3 linked regions of the Yarrowia lipolytica genome follow. The main gene of each other region encodes a partner of the protein of the gene in region 3 in a complex. Links are inferred from orthologs where the notes say so. Each region holds a gene or a part of one and is shown on either strand. Other genes may lie near its edges.

Region 1 (2,618 bases), on a different chromosome or scaffold from region 3:
CCCTGATGTAGACCCCATGACCATTATACTTGTAACACGCCAGAAAGGACATTCGCTTCGCCCATTTCCTCGTCCCATGCTGGCGTTCACATTCATAGATAAACTCATCCAGTCGTATTCTCGGAGATGTGCTTTGTGACTCACAAGGTGAAAAGTGAAACTTCAAAAAGATTGTGGGGGCGTCATGTGGCATGGAGTTGGCAGAGGCCAAACTTGAACGTTCAACTGCCAATTACGCCTGGTTTATTCTATTGGCTTCTTCATTTCCGAGTACTTATCTAAATACAAGTGCAAGTCCTTCTCCCCTTATTTCCAACTCTGATAAGCAACCTGCATGATCTTTGTTGGTCCCTTTGTTGGTCTCTTTGTTGAACGCTCTTTGTCCGGCTGAACAAAGACTTTAACTAGATGTGAATAGGTGTAGGCTAACATAGGAGATGGTCTAAACTAACAAAGGGGCCGTTGTGTTTTGATAAAAGGAATTTATAGCGTGTTGGCGTCTTGGTTAGATTAAGACTCTGTAAGAATACCTGTAGTTATATGCTCTACTGGCGTGCAGAGAAGCCTATGGCTTTTATTCAGCATCAGATCGTTCCAAGTGAGCGGAGTGCTGAAAGATGAAGGCACACATTCATTAAACATGTTCATGTTCATTCGGGCATAACAAGCCCTATTCCTTTGGATATTTCGATATTTACCTCCACAGTGTGACTATTCACACTCCATCACCACTCCACCGGGAGCCACACCCTCGCATCGGGTGCAGGATCCAATGTTTGGAGATGCTCAGTAGGCAGTTTGCAGAAGCTACATGTACAGTATACCATTGTATGTACTATGGAGCCATAAAAGGTGATATTGAAACAATTACCCGACGCTTCACTTCACTACTTACGTATTTCACGACGTCCTTGGTGTGCAGAGTAGTGAGTCTACATAGCGGTTCATATCCATCCAAAGATACCACTTGTAAGTCAGAAGCGTCGAAACTAACCAAGTTATGGGTTAATCCGTCAAAGTCGTGTTAATACGGTACTTATGAGCTCAACAGATATGTCAAACTCAGTTGATATATTTGTTGAGAAGTACACGATAACTGGAATGCATCAATATCACTGAGTAATGGTCCAAAATGAGTGGAAAAAGTTGCAATCATTTCATCTCGTGGCTGAAACAAGACTTCCTAACAAACCAAGTGAGACCATCGACTCAATACCCTGAAAAGAGCATCTCTTCACTCGACCTACAACCACGTTTCCGCGGAACGACCGGGGTTCGATTCTCGATCAGACTACTACTAAACTTACTCATAATCTACAAACGAGTACTCCTATACGCTCTCAAAACTGTTCCAGTACAGCTGAAAATGAAATAAAAATGAACCTGAACTAAAAAAAGGAGATTATAAAAACATATTTATTCTCATTTATTCATATATTCCACAATTTGACCTTTTAATACTGTTCCACAATCGACGGCCAAAAATTTCACCTCCAGTTCAATTAAGGTTTTCCACTTGGATCAAAAATTGACCTGCACACCGATTCGTCATCACCACCACACAAAATGAAACCGTCGGTCAACATGCTCAAGCAGGCCGTTTCCAGCGCCGTCAAGGCTCAGGTGCCCGTCATCGACGCCTCTCCGTCGTACATCCCCAACGCCAACTTCGCCAAGCTGCCCCAGAAGCTGCAGGACTTTTTCCAGCGGTTCCCTCCCCAGCCATTTGTCAACTACTCGGCCAAGAAGGGGTTCAAGGACGCCCCCAACGCCAACCCCTTCCTGCCCAACAAGTCGCGAGTCACCAACAAGACCCACAAGCCTCTGTACTCGCTGAGACGACAGTCGGACCTGTACAAGCTGGCCCATAAGCACGGAGTGCACGAGCTGCTTCCTCCCATGGAAAAGACCTTCTTCGAGACCCGACACGAGCAGGCCAAGCCTCTGATTGGCGAGATGGTGTGGAAGAAGCATATCCGAGAAAAGACCAAGGAGTCGCGAAAGGAAAAGATTGCCAAGGCCTTGGAGACCATGGACGAGAAGATTGCCGAGGCAAAGGGAAAGAAACACTGGGAGAGATTGGAGCGACGGGAGCGAGAGAAGAAGCAGTGGGTTTAGACAGATACGAGAGGAGCAAGTGTCTGTACATCGAACACAACCAGATGGATGGCATCCGTACATCTCATTCGATCTACCCAGCAGGAGGATATGTATATAGTAATGAACTTGAAACAAGCCCAGAGCCGAGTGGCTCTTACAGTACAGTACATACTGTAGACTTCTGTGTACGTCGAGATGGTCTTTGCAAGATCGGAGTTGGGGTTTGAAGCTTTGACAAGGTGACAAACACGTCTCTAATGCGTATAGATCCCTCGAATACTGCCCCGAGTATCGAGAGTACTAAACAACCTGGTCAAGAACCAGGACGAGAATATCAAGTTCCAAAAGCCTCTGGATATGAGAATTCCGAGAATTCTGGCCAATTAATCCAAGGGATTGAGATTGTCTTCGCAAGTCGTCGCAGCATTGACGGTTGATAATACTGGTCGTACCTTTCTGTCAATGAGTTTCAGCAGAGAAGATAACTCCAACCCTAGCAAACTCGCCGACAAAGTGGT
Region 2 (2,848 bases), on a different chromosome or scaffold from region 3:
GATCGCAACACATGGGCTTAGTGCTCAGCCGAATGGGGCCTGTGGATCAGCTACAATTGGCCTATGAACAGAAGTGTGTGGTGCCCCATCGAATTGAAGATTCGACGTTCGAAAAATATAATAAATCAAATCCAACTGTATTGTATCTATTCTGCGTGGAACTGGACAGTATTTCAGTTTTTAGCCAATTTCTCGAAAAACAAAACCAGACTCTAGATGTAGAAAACAAGCGATTGAAAGACAAATGTACACATACAACAAGTTCTGTCTTTTGGAATAAGTTCGATGAAACAAACCACTCTACTCCTAAGTACACCATCTAATACTTACCACCACCGTCACGTTGACTATCACTACACCGACCTACATCAACTACTAACTCCCACCGTTCTCAATCATCATGAATCATGCTCAATATATACAATTTTCGCCTCCTCTGGTTTCGACTCGTGTCCAGTCGCTCATCCTTCAGGTTTGTGTGTCACGTACCGACACGTCTCTTACTCTCGATCGATCCAGTTCTTTCGATCGGGGGCATCCTCCTCGGCAACAGGGCCGGACTTGACATACTCGTTCACCTTCTTGACGGTGAGCTTGGGGTCGAGGGGACCCGAGAAGCCTCGGAAAGAGTTCTTGATGGGCTCCAGGGTGGGGGACACAAACGGCTTGAGCTCACAAGCCTCCAGACCGGCAGGAACGACAAAAGTTCGGACCTTGTCTCGGTTGATAATGAATCGACCCTTGGAAGTGGTCTTACCGACTCCACCGGCTCCATGGCCCTTGTAGAAGTTCTTGTTACCCTGCTTGGAGGTAAGGGGCAGTCGCTTGTTACCGTTTTTCGACACACCGTAGAACAGGTTGAACATGTACCCGGAACGGTCCTTCTTCCATGGTCGCAGCAGCTGGGTCACAAACGAGGGTCTCATTGTGTGGAGATGTTTGTGTTGTGTGTTGAATGGTTTTTGATGTCGCGGTGATGATTTGGGAACCGTAAAATTTCACTCTCACGTGACGGGACAAAATAAGCTTGCTGGGAGATGATTAATAAGCTTGAAGGATGGAAGCAAATAAGGTTCTCGTATCGGAGATAGGAGATAAGGGAAATTGAAAAGATGAAATGGCGGGAGCGGAGAAGGAGATCAAGGGTCGAATTTTTGAAGAAAATGCGTGATGGGAATTTGTTCATTGAAATGTCACATTTTTTGTGGTTATTTTGGTATCAATTTTAGAGATGTTTATTCCTTGTTGAGTATTCCAGTTGGAGGCTGAGATGATTCATTGGAGACAAAAAAACTATGAATAATTCTTTACATAGTACTGTATATTACTGATTTTACCCCTTTACACAGTTTTTATCTCTTTTTTCTAGCCTTTTTCGCCGGATATTTGATCATTTCCACTGTCTTATAGTCGATACAACTCTGGGACCCCACCATTCGGGCGGTGGTGTAGTGGAAATATCTGCCTTCCCAAATTGCAAGCAGGCCAGGGGTTAATTCCCCCCCGCTCATTCTTTTTTGCTTCTCGTGTGGATGTTTTTCTTGTTTGCTGAGTCAGGATTGGTGTGTCCGGAAGCTGATTGAAAAATGAGAATAATGACATACTGACTATAGTCTTGTATTGAGTGAGTAGTTGACAGTTGGAAAGATTAATTATCAATGGCCATAATCCAATGGGGCTCCAGTCTATTCCTTTATGGAACAGCTCTCTCCATGTCCCACATGTGTCTAGTCGCATCATATACACCTGAACATCCAGTCGACGATAGAACGAAATAGACAAACAGGATATGTACAGATTGTACGGCACTGTACGTACAGTACATACTGTATTTTGTACAATTATGCTAAATTATCATACCCCAGTCTAATGATCAATAGAAACTCCCCGAGAGTGATCCATTAGCACCAAAGGGAACACAAGGGGCTATACTGAAGGGATACATGCTAGATGATACATAGATGATACATTTTAGATCATATAACTATACGAAGATAGATCCTAGCCTGGGTGGTTTGATTCCCAAATACTCCCATTATGAGTGGACTTTCGGTAAAATAGTTGCCTGAACTCAAGACGTGATATGAACTTGACTTCGCAAGTGCTATCAAACTCCCCTTCGACTCCGTAGGATCAACTCAATGACCATAATAACTCGGTATTGGTGACACTATAATTAGGGGGTATTTAATTCTATTTGCACTTGCAGTTACGAGAAATGAAGACCGAGTTCTTCACCAAAGTGAAGGGCATTTCTAGTTGCTCGTACCTCTCACTCATATAGAGCTTGGCTCCACAAAATGTTCGATGCTCTAATAAACAATCAAAACAACCCTGATCGAAGAGATTGAGATCGAGCAACTCGTTCAGCTGACCAGGTCTATTCTTGGATGCTCCTCTCATGTGGAGTTGGCGTCATGTTGAACTGTCGAACTTTTATTTATGCATGCTAATTTCAACGGTTCTAATTATAGCCAACCTTAAATGCCTCGGAATATTCAAGGACACATGGCGACAACTGGATCAATACCAATGGTATCAACTTTTTAGATGACTTGAGAACTCTCTAAACCGCTAAAAAATTAGCATTTGCAGTTTTATCTTCTTCGAATGCCCTTCAGAATGGCCCCACCACCACATCTGACCCCCACCTCGCTTAAGTCACCAGGCATCGGCAAACACTTCTCATCTGCACGGCTCTAAATAGATCTTCTACAAGTGACGTCGTTATCCACACGGCATTGCATTGGAAATGTGAGATGTTATCGACTTCGACGTCATCTTAGGAGCAAGTTATAGACTTAAATGGTGTCCCCAGAAGTATATAGACCCCCTCCATATCCCCTTC
Region 3 (3,033 bases):
TGCTGAACCCTTTCTGACCCTTTCTGAACCTTTCTGAACCCGTGCTCTCAACCATTCTGAACCTACGCTTTGTCAAAAGAGTGGGGGTTCAAAGTGTGATTTGTGGAGTTGACACTGAGGATAACTACAGAAATCGATAGTAGAGACTTGTTGTGCTCATTGGTGAAATGTGTACCAGTCTTCAGCGACTTTGTTGTCAATGGTGGAATGGTAGAGCCCAGAGTTGTTAGTTGCATAAGCTGACTCAGTCTCTAGTATCAGAAGGCGAGCTATAGCAGCTCTGCATGACTTCCTACAGACTCCTGCTCATCCGGCCACTATTGATATATCGGAGTTCGACTTGTTTCGTACTCCGACTCCCACAGCTCAAGCCAGACCATCTACAATATCCACACTTTACTACTTTGCCAGTATAACGTCTTGTGAGCGAATACCCATGGATAGGACCCGTTCAACCATAGTGCTTCGCACTCTTTGTTTCACTTCCTTAACTATGTACATTACTGCTCAGCAGTCGTCTCACCAGGCACCTTGGCTTCCTTGGCAAGTCGCTTTTCCAGAGACTGGGGGTAGATGGCGTCCCATCGCTTGAGAACGCTATGGTCAGCATTCTCAGGCCAGGACTCAGCGGCTCCTCGTCTCCACAGGTCCTCCCAGTGGATGGTCACGGGCACCTTGACGGCCTCGGTGACGGTCGACAGGTCTGCCAGCGCCTCCTGTGTGTAAACGGGCCGGTACTGGCCGTCCTGCCACACGTTTCCGGCGGCGTTGGTCTTTCTCCACCCCTTGATGTCCTTCTTGCCGTCGTGGGTTCGCTTGTATCGCAGGTACACGAGGCCGTCGTAGGCATCACAAGCAGCCTGGTGGTCGCCGAAATCGGCAACGGCCATGGGCCGCCACAGATCCTGTCGCATGGTGGGCCGCTTGTTCTCCCAGTTGGGGTCCTTGAACTGTCGGTTGAGATGGTGCTCCGTCACGCCGGGGACCTGGGTGTAGGCCACCTGTCCCGTCTGGAGGTGTCGGTAGACGTACACAAACGCGGGCTTACCGTCTCGCTTGAGAGTGGCGGGCGTGTACTTTCGTACGGTGCCCATGGCTTTTGTGTACTGTGCCATTGTTGATGGAGATGATGTTGCAGTGTGAAATTTGTGATCTCCATTAGGGTTTGAGGGAGGTCTGGAGGGAGGGAAAAATTGCAAATGGTTTTCGCGGGATTCGAACTGGCGTTCACGAGGTGACGGTCACGGGATGATCGGTCTAGCTCTTCCCTTCGCTGACTAACGCCCGAAACCAACTCTTCTGACTCAGCTCGGTCTCGGCTCAACAAAGTTGAACTCTGAAATTTGGGGGGACGCGTCTAGCGAGACATCGATCGACCGAAAATGTGCAAGCGAAATAAATCCAAGAAAAGCAGATAATTGGAAAAAAATCAGGGGCAAGGAAGGAACCGACACGGGCCTAGGGATATATGTCACGTGACTACCCCTACTACTCCACCCACCGACACCATTCATACTGTTATACGTCCCCGTCAGAGGGCTTCCTCCTCGGTCTCTTGACATGATCATTCTACTGCTGTTTTTTGACTTCACAAGTATGGTGCCATTAGTGTTTTTCTAGGGTGGTTTTTCTCTGTAGGAGCTTGTCTTAGCTACGCTGTGGCGAAACTTGTGGTACGAGAGTGTAGAAGCAGGCACGGATGACGGGGGGAGGGGCAGTAAAGAGGGCCAAGGTGGCGATTTTTCGGAAATTTGAAGGTTGCCAGGTGGGAAATGGGCGGTCTAGACCCTGGTTTCCGAGCCCAACTTGAACCCCGTCCTCTGTCCATCGCTCCACCTGCCCATCTGATAAGTCTAGAAGGTTATGTGTCTTTGTCACCAAAAATGGCAAGACGTTACAATTAAGAGTTTCCAACTTTGGCGCGTATCTTCCCCTGACCTACGAAAAAAAACGCTACATTTGTACCGACTTGCTCGCCAACAACTCCAGCTACACCGCCAGCTCCAGCGAAATAAACAGCTCCACCCCTTGCGACATGTACAACGGCACCTTCAATCTCGGCCCAATAACGCTGACGGCCCCCAACGTGTCGTCGATACCGCCTCCTATCTACAAACACTCCATTCCACCACTCGTGTCATGGATCTCGGACGAGAATCTCGCGCTGCTGCTGCCCATCATCTGCTACTGGACGTCGGGCATCATGTTCCACATCATCGACCAGTACGAGCTGCTCGAACAGTACCGGATCCACACTCCTGAGGAGGTGACCAAGCGCAACAAGTGCACGTTTGCGGAGGTTGTTCGAGACGTTATCAAGCAACACATGCTCCAGACGGCTCTGGGCCTGCTACTCAACTACTTTGAGGAGCCCAACACGACTGGCCATGAAGCTCACGACATTTGGACGTGGCAGGTTCGGTTTGGAGGACAGACGAGCCCCGCAAAGGCGTGGCTCGCGGCGTTCGCCTACACCTATCTGCTGCCCTTTGTCAAAATCTCCTTTGCCTTCTTCATTCTCGACTCGTGGCAGTACTTTCTGCATCGGGCCATGCACCAGAGCAAATGGTTATACAAAAAGTTCCACTCCAGACACCACAGACTCTATGTGCCCTACGCCATTGGAGCGCTGTACAACACTGCTCTGGAGGGCGTGCTGATGGACTCGTGTGGAGCCGGCCTGGCATACATGGTTTCGGGCCTGACTACCCGAGAAGCCATCTGGTTCTTCTGCTTCTCCACGCTCAAGACTGTCGATGACCACTGCGGCTACTGCATTCCCTGGGACCCGTTCCAGATCTTGTTCCCCAACAATGCCGTGTACCACGACATTCACCATCAGAGCTTTGGCATCAAGACCAACTTTTCGCAGCCCTTCTTCACCTTCTGGGACCGCATTCTCAACACGGAGTACCACGGCACCCGGGGCTACGTGCAGAAGCAGAAGGAGATCACGGCCCAAAAGTACAAGGAGTGGGTTGAGTCTCGAAGCGGCTCTTCGTCCGAGGATGAGAACAAGGCCAAGGCCACCGA

The links. The genes of interacting proteins can lie anywhere in the genome.
Region 1: YALI1_E20635g (region 3) and YALI1_D29852g share a complex: the UniProt entries of both Saccharomyces cerevisiae proteins name them as parts of the mitochondrial large ribosomal subunit. The link is inferred for Yarrowia lipolytica from reciprocal best matches to the Saccharomyces cerevisiae genes MHR1 and MRPL25.
Region 2: YALI1_E20635g (region 3) and YALI1_A03278g share a complex: the UniProt entries of both Saccharomyces cerevisiae proteins name them as parts of the mitochondrial large ribosomal subunit. The link is inferred for Yarrowia lipolytica from reciprocal best matches to the Saccharomyces cerevisiae genes MHR1 and MRPL27.

The regions. Positions count from the first base shown.
Region 1 is NC_090773.1:2,984,123-2,986,740, reverse strand, and holds YALI1_D29852g (mitochondrial 54S ribosomal protein mL59), read left to right. Parts: upstream 1-1,566; coding exon 1,567-2,118; downstream 2,119-2,618. Other genes in the region: YALI1_D29841g (uncharacterized protein), read left to right, coding at 2,167-2,217. UniProt on the Saccharomyces cerevisiae protein: Component of the mitochondrial ribosome (mitoribosome), a dedicated translation machinery responsible for the synthesis of mitochondrial genome-encoded proteins, including at least some of the essential transmembrane subunits of the mitochondrial respiratory chain.
Region 2 is NC_090770.1:325,939-328,786, reverse strand, and holds YALI1_A03278g (mitochondrial 54S ribosomal protein mL41), read right to left. Parts: upstream 927-2,848; coding exon 501-926; downstream 1-500. UniProt on the Saccharomyces cerevisiae protein: Component of the mitochondrial ribosome (mitoribosome), a dedicated translation machinery responsible for the synthesis of mitochondrial genome-encoded proteins, including at least some of the essential transmembrane subunits of the mitochondrial respiratory chain.
Region 3 is NC_090774.1:2,061,643-2,064,675, reverse strand, and holds YALI1_E20635g (mitochondrial 54S ribosomal protein mL67), read right to left. Parts: upstream 1,116-3,033; coding exon 501-1,115; downstream 1-500. Other genes in the region: YALI1_E20626g (uncharacterized protein), read left to right, coding at 2,036-3,033. UniProt on the Saccharomyces cerevisiae protein: Component of the mitochondrial ribosome (mitoribosome), a dedicated translation machinery responsible for the synthesis of mitochondrial genome-encoded proteins, including at least some of the essential transmembrane subunits of the mitochondrial respiratory chain.